Linked DNA regions of Stegostoma tigrinum. The protein of the gene in region 1 purifies or fractionates together with the protein of each later gene. This does not show direct contact. Links are inferred from orthologs where the notes say so. Each region holds a gene or a part of one and is shown on either strand. Other genes may lie near its edges.

Evidence for each region. The genes of interacting proteins can lie anywhere in the genome.
Region 2: the proteins of dyrk1aa (region 1) and trmt61b purify together in Homo sapiens (affinity purification with mass spectrometry, with the first as the bait; 3 studies listed by BioGRID). This does not show direct contact. The link is inferred for Stegostoma tigrinum from reciprocal best matches to the Homo sapiens genes DYRK1A and TRMT61B.

The regions. Positions count from the first base shown.
Region 1 is NC_081365.1:17,522,386-17,530,214, forward strand, and holds the start of dyrk1aa (dual specificity tyrosine-phosphorylation-regulated kinase 1A), read left to right. Parts: upstream 1-4,825; 5' UTR 4,826-5,220; intron 5,221-5,413; exon of another isoform or gene 5,414-5,589; intron 5,590-7,829. UniProt on the Homo sapiens protein: Dual-specificity kinase which possesses both serine/threonine and tyrosine kinase activities. Exhibits a substrate preference for proline at position P+1 and arginine at position P-3.
Region 2 is NC_081357.1:18,596,709-18,604,625, reverse strand, and holds the start of trmt61b (tRNA (adenine(58)-N(1))-methyltransferase, mitochondrial), read left to right. Parts: upstream 1-4,906; 5' UTR 4,907-4,938; coding exon 4,939-5,754; intron 5,755-7,917.

The DNA.
Region 1 (7,829 bases):
TATATATGTTTAACTGTATTGATACAATTAACACTCCAGTTATCTGGCTCTGTGGCAAATATTCCGTAACACTCTTGACTTGCACCTTGTAGGTGGTGGAGAGGTTTGGTGAGTCAGGCAGTGTGTTTCTCACGACAGAATTACTAGCCTCTGAACAGCTGCTGTCGTCTCAGCATTTGTGTGTCTAGTCTGTTAAGTTTTCTGATCAATGGTGACACCCAGGATTTTGAGACTTGAGAATTTACTTATGATAATGTAATTGAATATTAGGAGGAGATAGTCATTTTCTGCCATTTGTCTGGCATTAATATTATTTGTCATTTATAAACTCAAGCCAGAATTATGTGTCAAGTCAGTTTGCATGCAAACAGCGACTGCTTAATTGAATTGCAATCATCAGTGAATATATCCAGTTTTGGCTTTATTTTGGAAGGAATCTCAAGATGAATCGGCTGAAGATGGTTAAACTTAGGACATGAGAAAATTGGAGCTCTTATGGTGTAGTGATGGTGTCCCTACTTCAAAGGCAAGAGAATGGGTTAAAGTCCTACCTACTCCAGAGGTGTTTAATAACATTTATGAACAGATTGATTAGAAAATACCTATTAGATCTGACCAAGGATAATCAAAATAACCTTATGTGTGAGATGTGATCCCACCAGCGTGGAGTTTTCCTCCCTATTCCCATTGATTTAACTTCCTACTTGAGGCCCCACTTAGTCAAATACTGCCTTGTGTTGTCAAAGGCAGCTACTTACATTTCACTTCCACAATTCAGTCCATTTGTTGATTATCCAACCAAGGATATGCTGATGTCTGGAGCTGAGTGATTCTGGCCAACTCCTCAGTAACAGTAAACAGGTCACTGGTGAGTATCATCCCCTTTCATCACCTTGCTGATGATCAGGTGGAGGACAACAGGATGGTATGCTGGGTTGTAGGTGTCTTGCTTTTTAGTGAAAAGAATGTACCTTGGCAACTTTCCACTTCATTATATAAATGCCAGTGCTGGAGCACAAGACATTGTTAGTTCCATAGCCCTTATAGAATACAAACAATGGATTGTTTCTTGATATTATGGGGAGTAGAGTAAATTGATCAAGACTGGTTTCTATGATGTCGGGGATACCAAGCAGAGAGAACACTGGTTCACCCATTCGTTACTTTTGGTTGAAGATGGTGGTAAAATTCTCAGCCTTATCTCTCAGATTCATGTCCTGTACTCCATCATTAACAAGAATGGAGATGCTCATGGTATCTCCTCATCCTATTAACAATCCACCATTAATTGTAACTGGATATTGCAAGACATAAATATTTTGATCTGATTTATCATGATGGCATCACTTAGATCTCCTACTTAATAATGATGACATCCTATATTGTAGCTTCACCAGACTGATATCTTACTTTAGGTGTTAATGGTGCTGCTCCTCACATGTTCTCTTAAAATTGTCATTAAACTAGAGGTGATTCCCCAGCTTAATGGTAATGATAATAGGGGCAGCACGATGGCTAGTGCTGCTGCCTTACAGCAGCAGGAATCCGGGTTCAGCTTCAGCCTTAGGCAACTGTCTATGTGGAGTTTCGCATTCTCCCTTTGTCTGCATGGGTCTCCTCTGGGCACTCCAGTTTTATCCTACTGTCCAAAGATGTGCAGGTTAAGTGGATTTGTCATGCTAAATTGCCCATCGTGTCCAGGGATGTGCAAGCTAGCTGGAAATGTGGGGTTATGGGGATAAGTGTGTGTTTGGGTGGGATGCCCTTTGGTGGGTCAATGTGGACTCAGTGGGCCAAATGGCTTGCCCCCACTCTATACAGATTCTCATTCTATTCTGTGTGAGAGTGGGTAGTATGCTGGCCCATGGTGTTAGAGGCTGTGGTTGAACACAATTCTTCTGCTGCTGGTGGCCCACAGTGCTCCAGGAATCCTTTGCTTTGAGTTTGGTTTGGTCTGGTTTAAATCTACTTCATTCATGGTGGTAATGCCACACATTACAGAGGCTGTGTTCAGTGCCACATAAAGGCTGTTTAGGGATCAAAATAGATAGACTGGGGAAGTTTTCTTTTAAAAAAAAGCATTAGCTCTTGGGATGTGGACTTCACTGGTTGGACCAGCACTTATTGCCAATCTCTGATTGCCCTTGAGAATATGTGCTTTGCTGTATGCTGGTTTGCTGAAGTCCTTTGGGTATAGGAACACCATTGTCCTGTTAGGGAGTGAGTTCCAGGATTATAAACAGAGACACTGAAGGAACAGCAATTTTCTTCCACTGCAGGACTGTATGTGGCTTGAAGAGGAACATGCAGTTGGTGACTTTCCCAAACATCTGCTGCCCTTGTCTTTCTTAAGGTGACTGGTGGTGAGTTTCAATTAAGACCAAAGATTGTGAGTTTGGGAGGTGATATGTAAGGAGCTGTGTTGAGTTGCTGCAATGCATCTTATTTCAGAATTAGCAAGGCTAAAATAGATGCCATTTTGGCGACAGCCCCCTGCAAACAGTATTACTGGCTAAATTATTTGTAAAAAACACAGCTGCATCCTTAAGAGATCTAACCTGAGAACAACATTAAACCAGATGAGGTGATCTGCGACTTGCAAGAAGGCTTTAACAAGCTGTAAAGGAACGCTTTGCACACATCTTCAACTGGTCGATCCGAGGTACTTCTGGGAATTTGCGAAATACATGTAATGTCTGTTCGGAGCTGAGTTGGATCAATGGCCACGGGAAGGAACAGCTTGTTCTTTTTAATCTCAGCTGCAAGACATTCCACTGGTTTACTGGCATACCAAGTGACTGAAAGATTTTTTTTATAAAACGTAGTCTGGGCATCGCAGATAATACACTGGATCTGTCGACACGCGTTTCGGCATGTATTCAGATCATAATTCAGTTTTGTTTGAATTCACTCCGCGTCAAAATCGCGAGTTTGCTGCGAATGGAGCGCTGTGCTTCAGCTGTTCATCGCAAGGCTAGGAAGACGAGTCAGCCTCACCCCCGAGTGGCCTGTGGGGGGGGGGTTAACTCACAGGAATACCCCTGAGATTCTCTTCAGAACATTCATGTGACAGATTCCACGCTGTCGTGACTGTATGTAGGTGGAGAGAAGCAAGACTCATTCTCCTGCTAAATGTCAATTAATTTGTTGTCTCAGTATATATACAAAGCTACACTGAAGCTCAAAGATAAATGATACCTGCTTGTGACATGTCGACTTTCTGGAAGGGGCATTTCGACATTAATTTCCAGCGTTCAAGTCAATATGACAGCATGGGTGGCAAGTATCAGTAATCTATTTGCCTGTAAGTATGCCTGCTAACTCTGGCATACTCAGGTAGGGAAAGGGATATTGAGGATTATTAGGATGATTTTTATCGCTGCCCAAACTGGGGCTAGCTAACAGAAAATGGGCATTGACCTGGGACGATTCAGGTATGCGTCATTCACTCGGTACCGCACTGTGCGCTTTTGATCAAGAGGCGATCTACTTCACACACCCTTTCTCGTCTCCTCAAAAAATATTAACGGAGTGATGTTCCATAAATAGAACCACGGGTATAAATGCAAAATTGCAATCGAAATAAATTAACCATGAAGTCGTGTTGTTTTATTAATGTCACCATTCAAAAATACGAGGCTACATTTCCACTCACTATCGCCTGAGACCGTCGCCCCACCAATCCCAGACCAACAGAGTATGTGCCAGAATGTAACTCGTTAAAACTGTATGCCACGCTAGTTGATGAGAAATGAAGCGAAGAGCCGCTTGTCACACGATGTCTGTAAAACCGTTCTTTCGTCGCTGCAAGTGCTGTTAGAAGAATCAAAGCACCGTATCACCCTTCTGGCCAGAATAAAAAAAAGTCAATGAGAAGATACTTTTAGCCGCAAATGTCAATGCATGTCCTAAACCATTATTCGCTGCGGCTTTTCCGGTTTTGATTGCAGCGGTCGGGGGATATCAAGTAAATTTTTGCTCCTCCAGTGACATTTATTTGAGCGTTCAAGTTCAGTTGTGGGCTTTTCTCTATCGTTTATGTAACCGTGCGGCTCTGCAAACGGGCTCAATAGGGGGCAAGCCCATTCTGTCACAGCGTCTGTGTACTTTAGTGTGTTTGTGGGTCATCTTCATTCGAAACAACTCTTTTTGCCTTCTACTGCTGTTTGGAAGGTGTGCGAATGAAACAGGTATCCGCAATTCAAAAAGAAACATAAATAAAACATCACAGAGACACACGCACAGCCTTTTCTCCCTCCAATCTCAAAATAATCAGTGAGCAATATAGGTCAGTGTTCAGGGACGCAATGAAGGGAGGTTTCGAGTTGTGTTTTGGGTTCTTATGGGCGAGGAGAGGAAGAAGGAGAGTCTGGATCCTTGATGAAAAGTTTGGCAACTCTCGCAAAAAAAATCTATCTAATCTAAGGACTATGATTCTGTTAAAGGGAGCAACACAACAAAAAGACGTCTCGAGAAAATCAGAACAAGATACGAAAGAAACCTCAATTGTGTAATACTTGCATATACAGCAAGCGTGTTACAAAGAAAAGTACACACACAGGGAACCCCATCAGGTTCTAGATGGCGACCACTCGCTTGGCAACAAGAGTTTCTGCGGTTCTCGGTTATTTGGGCCTCGGGTTTAGATGAAGGGAGGAGATGGGCGTGATTGACGGTTTCCCTTCGCAACAGGCTCGGCCCCATTAATCGGTGCAGCATCCGGGGGATTGCGGCTGGCAACATCCTCAACGGCGCCTGGCCCCGCCTTTCCCCTTGCTGACGTCAAGGGCTCATCCGGGGCACCCGCTGTGATTGACAGTCCCCATAGCAACGCGCTCCGTCCGCCGCCATTTTGTTGTTAAGAGGAGAGAGAAGAGAGAGAAAAAAATTTTTTCAGGGCTTTCCCGCCTCGGAAATTTTTTTTTATCCGCGGGGAGGGGGTATTTTTTTTTGTCTCTCAACTCTACCTTTCTCACCTTAGCCCCTCTTTATCCCTCACTCACCCACTCCCTCCTTACCACCACCTTCCCTAACCTCCTCCTCCTCCGTTCTGATTTTTTTTCCCTCCTCCCTCGAAGGCGAGATCGGGAGATTCGGAGAGCGGGAGGAGAAAGTTGAATGGTCGGTGCGGCCGGAGAAGTCGGTCTGGCGAGCGGCGCAAGGAGGTGTAAAGCGGGTTTGAAAAAAGGCGGCGCCGAGGAGGTGTTTGCTGTTGCGCAGGTTTGTAGTGCGCGCCATTTTGTGAAATAAAAAAAGAGAGGGGGAAAAGACCGAGTGAGAGGAGGAAAGGTGGGGAGGGGGCTGGTCACAGGCACAGTTTGATCCTGAAGAGTCACTCACATCGAGGGGACAGCAGGCAGCTCGGGGGAGGCGGGGGTTGAGGCGATTCTGAATTCTCACACTTGAGATTTATTTATTATTTTCTTTCACACCATCTCCTTCATTCCTCTCCCCTCCCTTCCCCGTAACACCGCCCCTCGCCCAGAAAGGAGGGGACAGTAAACCCAAGCGGCGGCAGCGGCTTCTCAGCAACGAGAGCGGCCTGGGTGACAGAGGGAGGGAGAGAGATAGAAGAGAAATCGGGGAGAGGTTTGTCTTGACTTTCGTTCTAATTCATCAGCCACTTAATTCTATGTTCTCACCCCCCCCCCCCCCAGCGGCCTGACACTTATTTAAGACGTTGTTATAATTTGGTTGGCGGTCTCTTCTTAAAACAGTGTTATTAACATAAGGAGCTGAGAGAGGAAGATGGACTCTTTTTGACAGTGTTACTGCGCTGAACGTGTTAAAGTATATGTTGCATATCCGAGTGTCAGCCACAGGGCACAGCAATTTAGCAGGAATTAGAAACGTTAAGCATGTCATTTTCATCTGTGTATGACAGTTGTGCTATTTCAGTGATCTGGAGAAATTTTGTTAAGGCATGTAGCGTTTGTTTAGCCAGTACATGATGCACAATTCATGTCAGCATTGATACCCAGTCTTTAGTTAGACAGTGTGGTTTCCTTTTATTTTCCTTTGCTTTTGTCACATACAAGTAAAAGAAGATTGTTCTTTTGCAACATTGTGATTCGGATGGTGCCTGCCAACAAAACATGTTGGACTGTAACACATGCAATGCAAAGCCAAACACAGCAAATATTCTGAAAAAACGTTATTTATTTAAAAATGTTCTTTCTATGCAAAGAGTGGATAGACATTAAACTTTCAGATCTGAGTAGTACCATTCTTCTTGAACTGCTTTTCTAGCCGCAAAGCGCGAGATTTTTAATTCTAAAAACTGCAGTTGTTAAATTTTGTGCCGAATAAAACAAAACTTTAACCTGAAATGTGCAGGTGTCCAGTCCAATGCCCAATGTTAAACATATCAAATTGTGGCATTGCACTAATTTGCAGTGTGTTACTAAACTGGTACATCTAACAGCAGTCCAGAACATCGGTGAACAAATTAATGACAATTATGTGAGTGGCTTGATGAATATTTTGAGAACACAATGTAGACTAAGTTGTATGTTATTTTGGTCAAGTAAAAAGAGTTTTATTTAGATTGTATTGCCAGTGTCATCCTCAATAAATGAAATGTCAGTTGCCCCTAATTACGTTTTGGGGTTAAACTTTTTATCATCCAATGCAGATTTAGGCCTGGATCTTCAACGAGTTTCTGTTGATCTCAGTAAAGGGATCCTTCCAAAAATATCTTTGACATCGCTTTGTTTTCAATACTTAGACTTCAGAAAAATATTCTGTACCAAACTGATACTTTGACTTCACCATAAAATATCAGTTGGTCTGATTGGAATTTAGTTGTTTAGTCATGTGGTATTTTAAAGCCTGTAGAGTTGAAATACTGGGGCAAAAGTTCAGTTTTTGTGACAAGATCTATATAGGAAAAAGAAGTGTATTGTTGATTGAATTCTTTGAGCTTTCCAACTAATATCCAAATAAGTCCAGTAAAAATCTGCTCCAGGCTCTGTATGCTGTTCAGGTACTTTGGTATTTTGATTTCTGACTTGTATTTTATACATGTGATTGTGCCAGATTTAGTCATTGCATAACACTCACCTAAATCATAGATGTGTGTGTTCAGCGCCATTCCAAAGACCTAAGCAGGTAATCTTGGTTGTTGGATTAGTGCTTGTGCCCTGCTCTGTTTTGGATGTGACAAGAAGTCAAGACCCTGTTTGTTCTCTCAAATGATTGTTACAGATCCCATGCTACTTCAAGGAAGACTAGGCACTTTGCCAGATCTCCTGACCATCGATTATGCATCAACCAGTATTGTAAACAATGGTATGGTGCATCATTTCATTGCTAATTAAGGGATCTAGCTGTGTAAATTAGCTGCCAAATTTTTCTGCAACACTGCTGTTTTAAAGCAGTGTGACATTGACTTTGTGGAAGTATGACGTAAGAATATGATTGCAGTATAATTTGATTTAGAGAGTTCAAAACATAGGCTGGTAAAAGTTCATTTTTTATAAATTAATCAGTTTATTCTGATTTTAAAAGCCGCAGGAGAGATATATTTACTATACAAATATGGTAGTTTGTGTTCCTGAAAGTGAAGTTCATATATGTTAACTGTGTTCCAGGTTCTGCTTTCCTGTTGGTCTTCTTACCGACCTTCATTGCTCCCTTTTCATCTATATCTGAATTTAAGGAACTTTTTTTTCTGATAAAGTCCCTCCATGAGCTTGATTCTCCTGAGCCCAACAACCAGATTGGGTACTTGTCCCTTATCCTTGCTCTAAACACCCAGTTCTAACACTGTACCCTTTCATCTCAGCACGAAATACCCATTTCTGCCGCTGCATTCTGGAAGGCTGTTG
Region 2 (7,917 bases), on another chromosome or scaffold:
TCTGTCTCTGTCATGAGAGAGTCAGACTTTAGAATCACACATACAGATGAAGCCCTTTGGCTCATCAAGTCAATGCCAAAACCACCTACATCAGTCCCACTTTCCTGCATCAGGTCCATAGCCTTGAATGTTATGACACTTCAAGTTTTCATCGAAGTACTTTTTAAAGGCTGTGAGCTTACTCACATCTACTATCTTCCTAGGCAGTGCATTTCCCACACCTAGCAACCTCTAGACAAAAAAAAATTAGATTCCCTACAAGTGAGGAAACAGGCCCTTCAGCCCAACAAGTCCACACTGCCCCTTGAAGCATCCCACCCAGACCCATCCCCTTATAACCCACACACCCCGAACACTACGGGCAATTTAGCATGGCTGATCCACCTAGCCTGCACATCTTTGGACTGTGGGAGGAAACTGGAGCAAACCCACACAGACACGGGGAGAATGTGCAAACTCCACACAGACGGTCACCCGAGATTGGAATCAAACGCGGGTCGCTGGTGCTATGGGGCTGCAGTGCTAACCACTGAGCCACTGTGCCACCCAAAATATTCTTCAAATCCCCTCTAACCCTCCTGCGGTTCACTTAAAAAATGTGTCCCATTGTTCTGACTCTTCAACAAAAGGGAACAGATGCTTACTTACTAACAGCAATGTAATAAGTAATAGCTAGTCTGTTTTTGTGATGCTGATTGATTGAGTGACAAATATTGGCTAGATTTAAAGATAGCTTCCTGCTTTTCTTCAAAAGCATCTTTTACATCTGCTTAAGAGTCAGACAGTATCTTAGTTTTATAATTCATTCATAAGTATAGTGTGACACTCCACAAGACTGTCAGTCTTGAATATTTGTTCTCAACCATCAGAATAGGTCTGATTCAGGGACAAGAATGCTATAACTCACCAATTCAGGAAATAGCAAGGGATTTTACATTTTTCAAGCTAATTGTTCAGCTAAAATATTAGGAGGAAAATGAGGTAGCTTTCAACCACATGCAAAAGATGTCATTACCTTTTAAGCAAGAGTTCTTCTGATGTTCTTGCTAATAATTCAATTTCAACCAATACCTCTCAAAGCCAATCACCTAGTTGTTTCCTACATTTCTTGGTGACTTTATTTCTAAAGTTGTTCATTAGCTGTAACATGCTTTCAGACAACCAAAAGCAATCCCCTACTTTTATGTAGAGACTTTAACATAGTATGATATTTTTCATAGTATCCCTACAATTTACCAACATGGCCCTTCAGCTCAACACGTCCACGCTGATCCTCAGAGCATCTCACCCAGATGCATCCCCCTTTGACCCACCTCATCTAGTCACCTCTAAACACTATGGGCAATTTAGCATCCACCTAGCCTGCTCATCTTTGAACTGTGGGAGGAAGCTGGAGTACCTAGAGGAAACCTTCACAGACACAGGGAGAATATGCAAATTCCACACAGGACCTGAGGGTGGATGTAAACCTGGGTTACCTGGTGCTGTGATGCAGCAGTGCTAACCGCTGAGCCACCATGCCACCCACCCCCTTCAAGTGCTTCTCAGAGAGTTAGAGAACAAAATTTGAGTACAAGCCTTATAAACAGAAATTAAGACAGGTGATCCAAAAGTTTGGTGAGCAAGATAAATTTTAAGAAACAACCTAAGAAGCAAGTTAGGGAAATAAAAGTTTAGGGATGAAATTCTAGAGTTTAGGGTCAAGACAGTTGAAGGCATGAGGGAGTGGTTAAAATCTGTGATGCTCAAGAGGCAAGAATTAGAGGAACATAGATATCTTGGAAGGTTGTAAGGCTGGAGCTGATGACAAAGATCGGAATAGGCATAATGGAGGTATTGAAAATAAGGATAAGAATGTTAAACTCAGCCGCACCTGCTGAGCTTTTCCAGCAACTTTGTTTTTGTACAATGTTTGTCTGGTTACTGATGCAGGTTAATCAATGTAAATAAGCAATTGTACAATGTCCTGAGTTTGTGAATGGCATTAAATGAATGAATACAATATTCATTTGATAATGTAGGATTGTGCAGTGCCTAATAATGGTTGCACTTCAAAAATTGATTGAAACATATTTTAGGATATCCTGAGAATGTGACAAGGAGCTACGGAAATAGGAGGAAGAGTAAGCTATTTTGCTCTTTGAAATTGCCCAGCCAATCGTACTGATTGTGGCTGATCTGCTTGTGACCTTAACTCTAGTTTCCTGCCACCCCATATAACTATATACTCCCTTATAGGTCAAAAGTCTTCAAGCTCAGTCTTTAATATATTCAAGTACTCAACCATCACTGCTCTCTGGGCAACAGAATTCCAAAATACAGCAGCTCTCGGCTTTACATGGAAGAAATTCCTCCTCATCTCTGTTTTAAATAGGAGGTGCCTTAATTTTAAACTTTGTCCACCAGTTGAAGATCCATCCTGAAGGACGATCAGCATCAAGCCTCCTCAAAATTTTCTATACTTCAGTCAGATCGCATCACATTCTACTAAACATCAATTTGTACAGGCCCAAACTGTTTTTTCTTTCGTTAAAAGACACTATTTTCATCCCAGGAATCAACCCGGTGACCTTTCTCTGAATTACTTCTAATGCAAGCTTATCCCTCCTTAAATAAAGAGATCAAAACTGTACACAGAACTCGAGGGGCTGTCTTACCAATGCCCTGTGCAGTTGTGATTAGACTTCCCTATTTTTACATGCTTCAACTCCACCCTGGCCCCCTTGCAAGAAGGGATGATTAGTTATTTCCAGAGTTGCAGGTGGTACACACAAGTTGCAACTACACATAATAATTCTGCTAGCATATGGTTTCAGTAAATGCTATTTATATATCATAGTTAATTATTATAGCAGGGCTATAACTGTGGAGAACTTGACTCCCAAAAGACATTGTTGAGGACATACTTGGAAAAACTAAAATAAATAAATTTTGATATTATTGAAACAGAGAGAAGCAAGCCTTGATCCTGTAAACACCAAATATGTGCAGGGAGAGAATTACATAGGGTTACTGATGTGTTACAAAATTAATAAAAATTAACTGACAGTTTAGACTGTCAGTTTCCTGCCAAGAAATATTTAATCAATATTGATTTTAGATTGTAAAAGTCTTAAAACTTGGTGTTTTGTCCTATAATTCCTTTAATAAGTCACTGGGAATTCAAATATCTTTTTGAAAGTTATCGGTCTTTTTGGGAATGTAACTAAGAAATTGGGTATGGTTGTGCTCTGAAAGAAAACTTCTACACCAGTGCGTCATATGGGTGCACCCTTAGGACTTTACAGTACTTTACAGCCAATTAATTAATTTAAAACAATACCGACAAAAGTTGTCAAAAAATGGCCCATTGAGACAATCGAGTAGTTTTCCTGTATTGGTGCCACTGGTTGAGGGTTGACTATTGGTTAAGATGCTGTTGAACTCCCCCACCCGTCTTGAAAAGCACAATGAGATGTCTTACATCCAGTTGATCAGGCAGATGGTCTCTGGTTTAATACCACGAAAGACATACTGCATCTCGAGCAATGCTTGATATAATATTCTTGGTTTTGTTATGCTGCTAAAGTATGTTTATGTTTGCTGAGAAAAGGAAAACTACATTGTATTTAAGAAACATCTTACTGTACTTCATATTTTCAGGAGGTTAGCAGGAAGCACGATTATGTGACATTGTATAACTTCCTTATGAGCAAATCACAGTGTCAGACTTAACCCCTTACATGACACTATACACTCCTAATTCAGCACTGCCTTAAATTAAGTGGCGCAGTGGCTTAGTGGTTAGCATTGCTGCCTCAGGTTTGATTCCAGCCTCAGGTGACTATCTGTGTAGAGTTGTAAACTCTCCCTGTGTCTGTGTGGGTTCCTTCCACAGTCCAAAGATGTGTAGGGTAGGTGGATTGGCCATGCTAAATTGTCCATAGTGTCCAGGGATGAGTGAGCTAGGTGGATTAGCCATAGGAGGAAAATGAAGGATAGGGCAGGGGCCTGGTTGGGATGCTCTTCAGGGAAGTGATGTGGATTCAACGGGCCAAAGATCCAGCTTCCACATTGTAGGGACTTTATGAAGTGCTCAGATCCTGGGATTTGCAATCATATAGTACAGAAGATTCAAATAAAAACAAAATGTTGTGAAACCTGAAGCAAGCAGAAAATGCTGGCAAAACTCAGCAGCACCTGAGAGAAACAGTTAACATTTTGGTGCAGAATGACCCTTCTTCAGAACTCCAAAGGTGTGCAAACTAGGTGAGTTAGCAATGGTAAATGTGGGGTTAGAGGAATAAGGTAGGGGAATGGTCTTGGTGGGATTCTTGTAAGAGGGTCAGTGTGAACTTGATGGGCCAAATGGCCTGCTTCCACACTGTAGGGGTTCTATATAGAGTCACTAAATAAGACTTATTTCAAATGTGATACAGATGAGAAAATTTGGGGCTCACTGCTTATGCCATCCAACCATTTAAAGCGCGGTAACAAATCACCGCAGCTGCTGAAAACAACGAAGGCTGGAGATCACAGCGAATTAGGCAGCATCCAAGTACCATCCCTGTAATCTCCAGCATTTATGTTTTTGTTTCAAATACTTAAAGCGTGGCTACGATTAACTAAATTCCACGTGTCTCCCTCCTACATAGATAGGATGAAGCTTAGATAATGAAATGTGAGGCTGGATGAACACAGCAGGCCCAGCAGCATCTCAGAGATGATGAAGGGTCTAGGCCCGAAACGTCAGCTTTTGTGCTCCTGAGATGCTGCTGGGCCTGCTGTGTTCATCCAGCCTCACATTTTATTATCTTGGATTCTCCAGCATCTGCAGTTCCCCACTGACAGGATGAAGCTTGTCGCTTTAAGATGATGTGGCGCCGAGGAGGAGCTTTGAAGCGTCTGCTTCCTGCTTGTAAACGCAAAGTCAGTGCAGAGTGAGGAATCTGGCTGGCAATGTGCAAATGCTCCGGGCTGCAAAGTAATAGACAACAGCACGGATTTCACTGCGGGGAGAAAATGCTGCGTCCAGTGAGAACAATGTGCAAAGCAGCCCATTGCTTTCAGGTGCAGTTTGGAGCTAAATGCAGTTACTCTTCTCCATGCACCGGTGCCCGGCTGCCCTTCAATAGGAACCTTGTGTCGCTTGTGTCCAGCTCAGGGGCTGGAGATGAAGGGGAAAAAGATGGATCAGAACCAGGAAGGGAGCTGGGAGCTGGGCAGTGTGGGCCAGCCTGGACATGGACAGGAAGAACGGCTCAGCTCCCGAGGAGACGTTCCCTATCGCCGCTGGAACGGGTCAGCAGCCTGATCCCACAGGAGATGCTGTCCCAGGAGGTAATGGACCTGCAGCAGATAAACCAGGAGCCAGGCCCAAAAGATTACACAGCAGCATCCATGCCCTCTGCACCCACAGGATGGCAGGCAGCATCAGAGTGCAGCTGGCATCTACCCCAGGAGGAGGTCCCTGGTCAGGTGGACAGTGCTTGCCAACCGAACCCTCCACACAGAGAAGTGCCCTTTAAACCTGGGGATGTAGTGCTGGTGGAGTTCCGCAGGAGACGCTGCTTGGAGCTGCAAAAGATGTTCAACTTGGTGAAGGATGGGAAGTTGCACAATCAGTGGGGCATGCTGTCCCACCAGGAGATCCTAGGACATCTCCCCGGCCAAGTCTTCAGGACCTCCACTGGCTTTAAGTTTATCTTGAGGAGGCCATCGCTGGAGGAATTTGTGCTGCTCATGAAGAGAGGACCAGCCATTTCTTATCCTAAAGTATGGAATGCTTGTCTCTTTTAGGAAAGAAAACTGGGTAATTCAAATGTAAAGATTTAATTTTAAAAGATAAAAAAGAAATTGTTGCACTTTAATGTAAATACCTAACTTAAACTGTTGAGAATGAACATTCCCAAAATGTGAACATCTGTGCCCAGTCCTTTTAAAGAAAGTTGCATACTCTCTTTGTAAGGTAGGGCTGTGTTGCCTGGAATTTAGAAATAGGAATTTGATCAAAGTTTTCATGATCTTAAAGTAGATACAGTGAAAATATTTCCACTGGTTGGGGACTGTAGGACCAACAGCATTAGGACTACCAACTAGCAGCACAGTCTTAAAAAACAGCCAGATCATTCAGGATTAAAATTAGAAAATGTTTCTATGTGCAGGAGGTGATAAAAGTTTGGAATCTTCTGGAAATGATCATTGAAACTAGCTCAGTTGTTACATTTAAGACTTGGATAGATTACTGTTAACTAGAAATCTTAATGGATATTGAACCAAAGGCAGATGTATGGGATGATAGGTTGCGGGTAGAATAGATCCAATGGCATTCCTCTGTATTCGGTGAGAAGAACATCTGAATTGCCTTCAGATTTCTCTCCATAATTGGCAACTAGAATATGTGTATGTAAGAACGTACAATGATGCCATTCTAAACTAATTTCCTCTACCTCCACATAGTCCATATCCCTCTATTACCTGCCTGTTGATGTATCTGTCTAAATGCCTCTTAAACATTGCTGTTGTGTCTGCTTCTACCTCCTCCACTGATAGTATGTACCAGGCACCTAACACCCTCTTGTAAAAAACGTGCTTCACACGTCCTCTTTAAACTTGCACCTCTCACCATGCCCCTAGTATATGACATTTCTATCCTTGGAAAAAGACTCCTACTATCCCTGCCTGTCATAATCTTGTATACTTCTACTGGTTACCCCTCCAGCGTCAAATATTTTAGTAAAAATAATCCAAGATTATCTGACCTCTCCTGTTAGCTAATATGCTCCAAGCCAGGCAACATTCCATAAACATCTTCTCAAAGTCATCTTGAAAGCCTCCACATCCTTCCAAAATGATCAACTGGCCTTTAAAAGACTCCCATGTGTCAGATATGGATTTATCCTCAATAACTACCTCCAATCTAATTTCTCCAGTTCCTCGCTAATTCTGTTGTAATTAGCTTTCCCCAATTCAACACTTTCAAGGGAATTTAGAAGAGAGTTAGAGACCTACTGTGGTTCTTTGTTTAGGCAGTTGTTTGTTATCATTGGCTGCTAAATATGGGACTGTGCTGAAGTGTAGAGTCATGATCTTCTTGTGCTGTTCTTCATACAAAACCTGATACACACAGTTATAAGACTGGTTTCAATAAAGGAGGCCAGCCAGCTGTTATCCATGTTGGCTCACTTAAGAGTTATCAGCTGTCACACTATTTTTCTTGCAGTCTTGCAAGATCATCTCTTCAGCATTTATCAATTCTTTTGAAAGCCACAATTGAATCTGCCCATCGCAATGATCCGTTATGTAAAAAAAAATTCCCAAGAGTCACTTTTGTTCTTTTTTGACTTGTTCAACTTATATTAGTGTTCATTGGTTTTGACTATTTTGCTCAGGGAACAATTTCTCCCTCTTCTCTACACAGACTTATCATGACTTTGAACATCTCTATTAAATCTCTTATGAGGCAGCCCAGATTTGGCAACCTATCCATGCAGCTGAGGTTTCCACCTGCCGGAACTATTTTTATAAATCTTTCTGCACTCTCTCCAATATTATCACTTCCTTGCTAAGGTGTGGTGCCCATGATTGGACTCTATTTTAGTTGAGACGAGACAACTATACTTTATAAACAAACATGAATATGCTAGAGAATCTCAGCAGGCCTGGCAGCCCTCAAGTTTTGTTTTATGTGCACATTTTGAAATTGTACTGAAGTCTTAAATCATTAATGTAGACTAAGTAAAACAGAGGTCTTAATACTGACCTTTGGGAACCACATTCTTCAGTCCAAATATAACCATTCATGATCTCTTGCTGTTTCCTGCCACTCACTCAGCTAACTTTGTGTCTGTGCTGCAACTAACCCTTTAATTCCGTGCCATCAAACTTTGCTCATATGTCTGTTGTGTGGAAGTCCATCTCACCATATCAACTGCACTA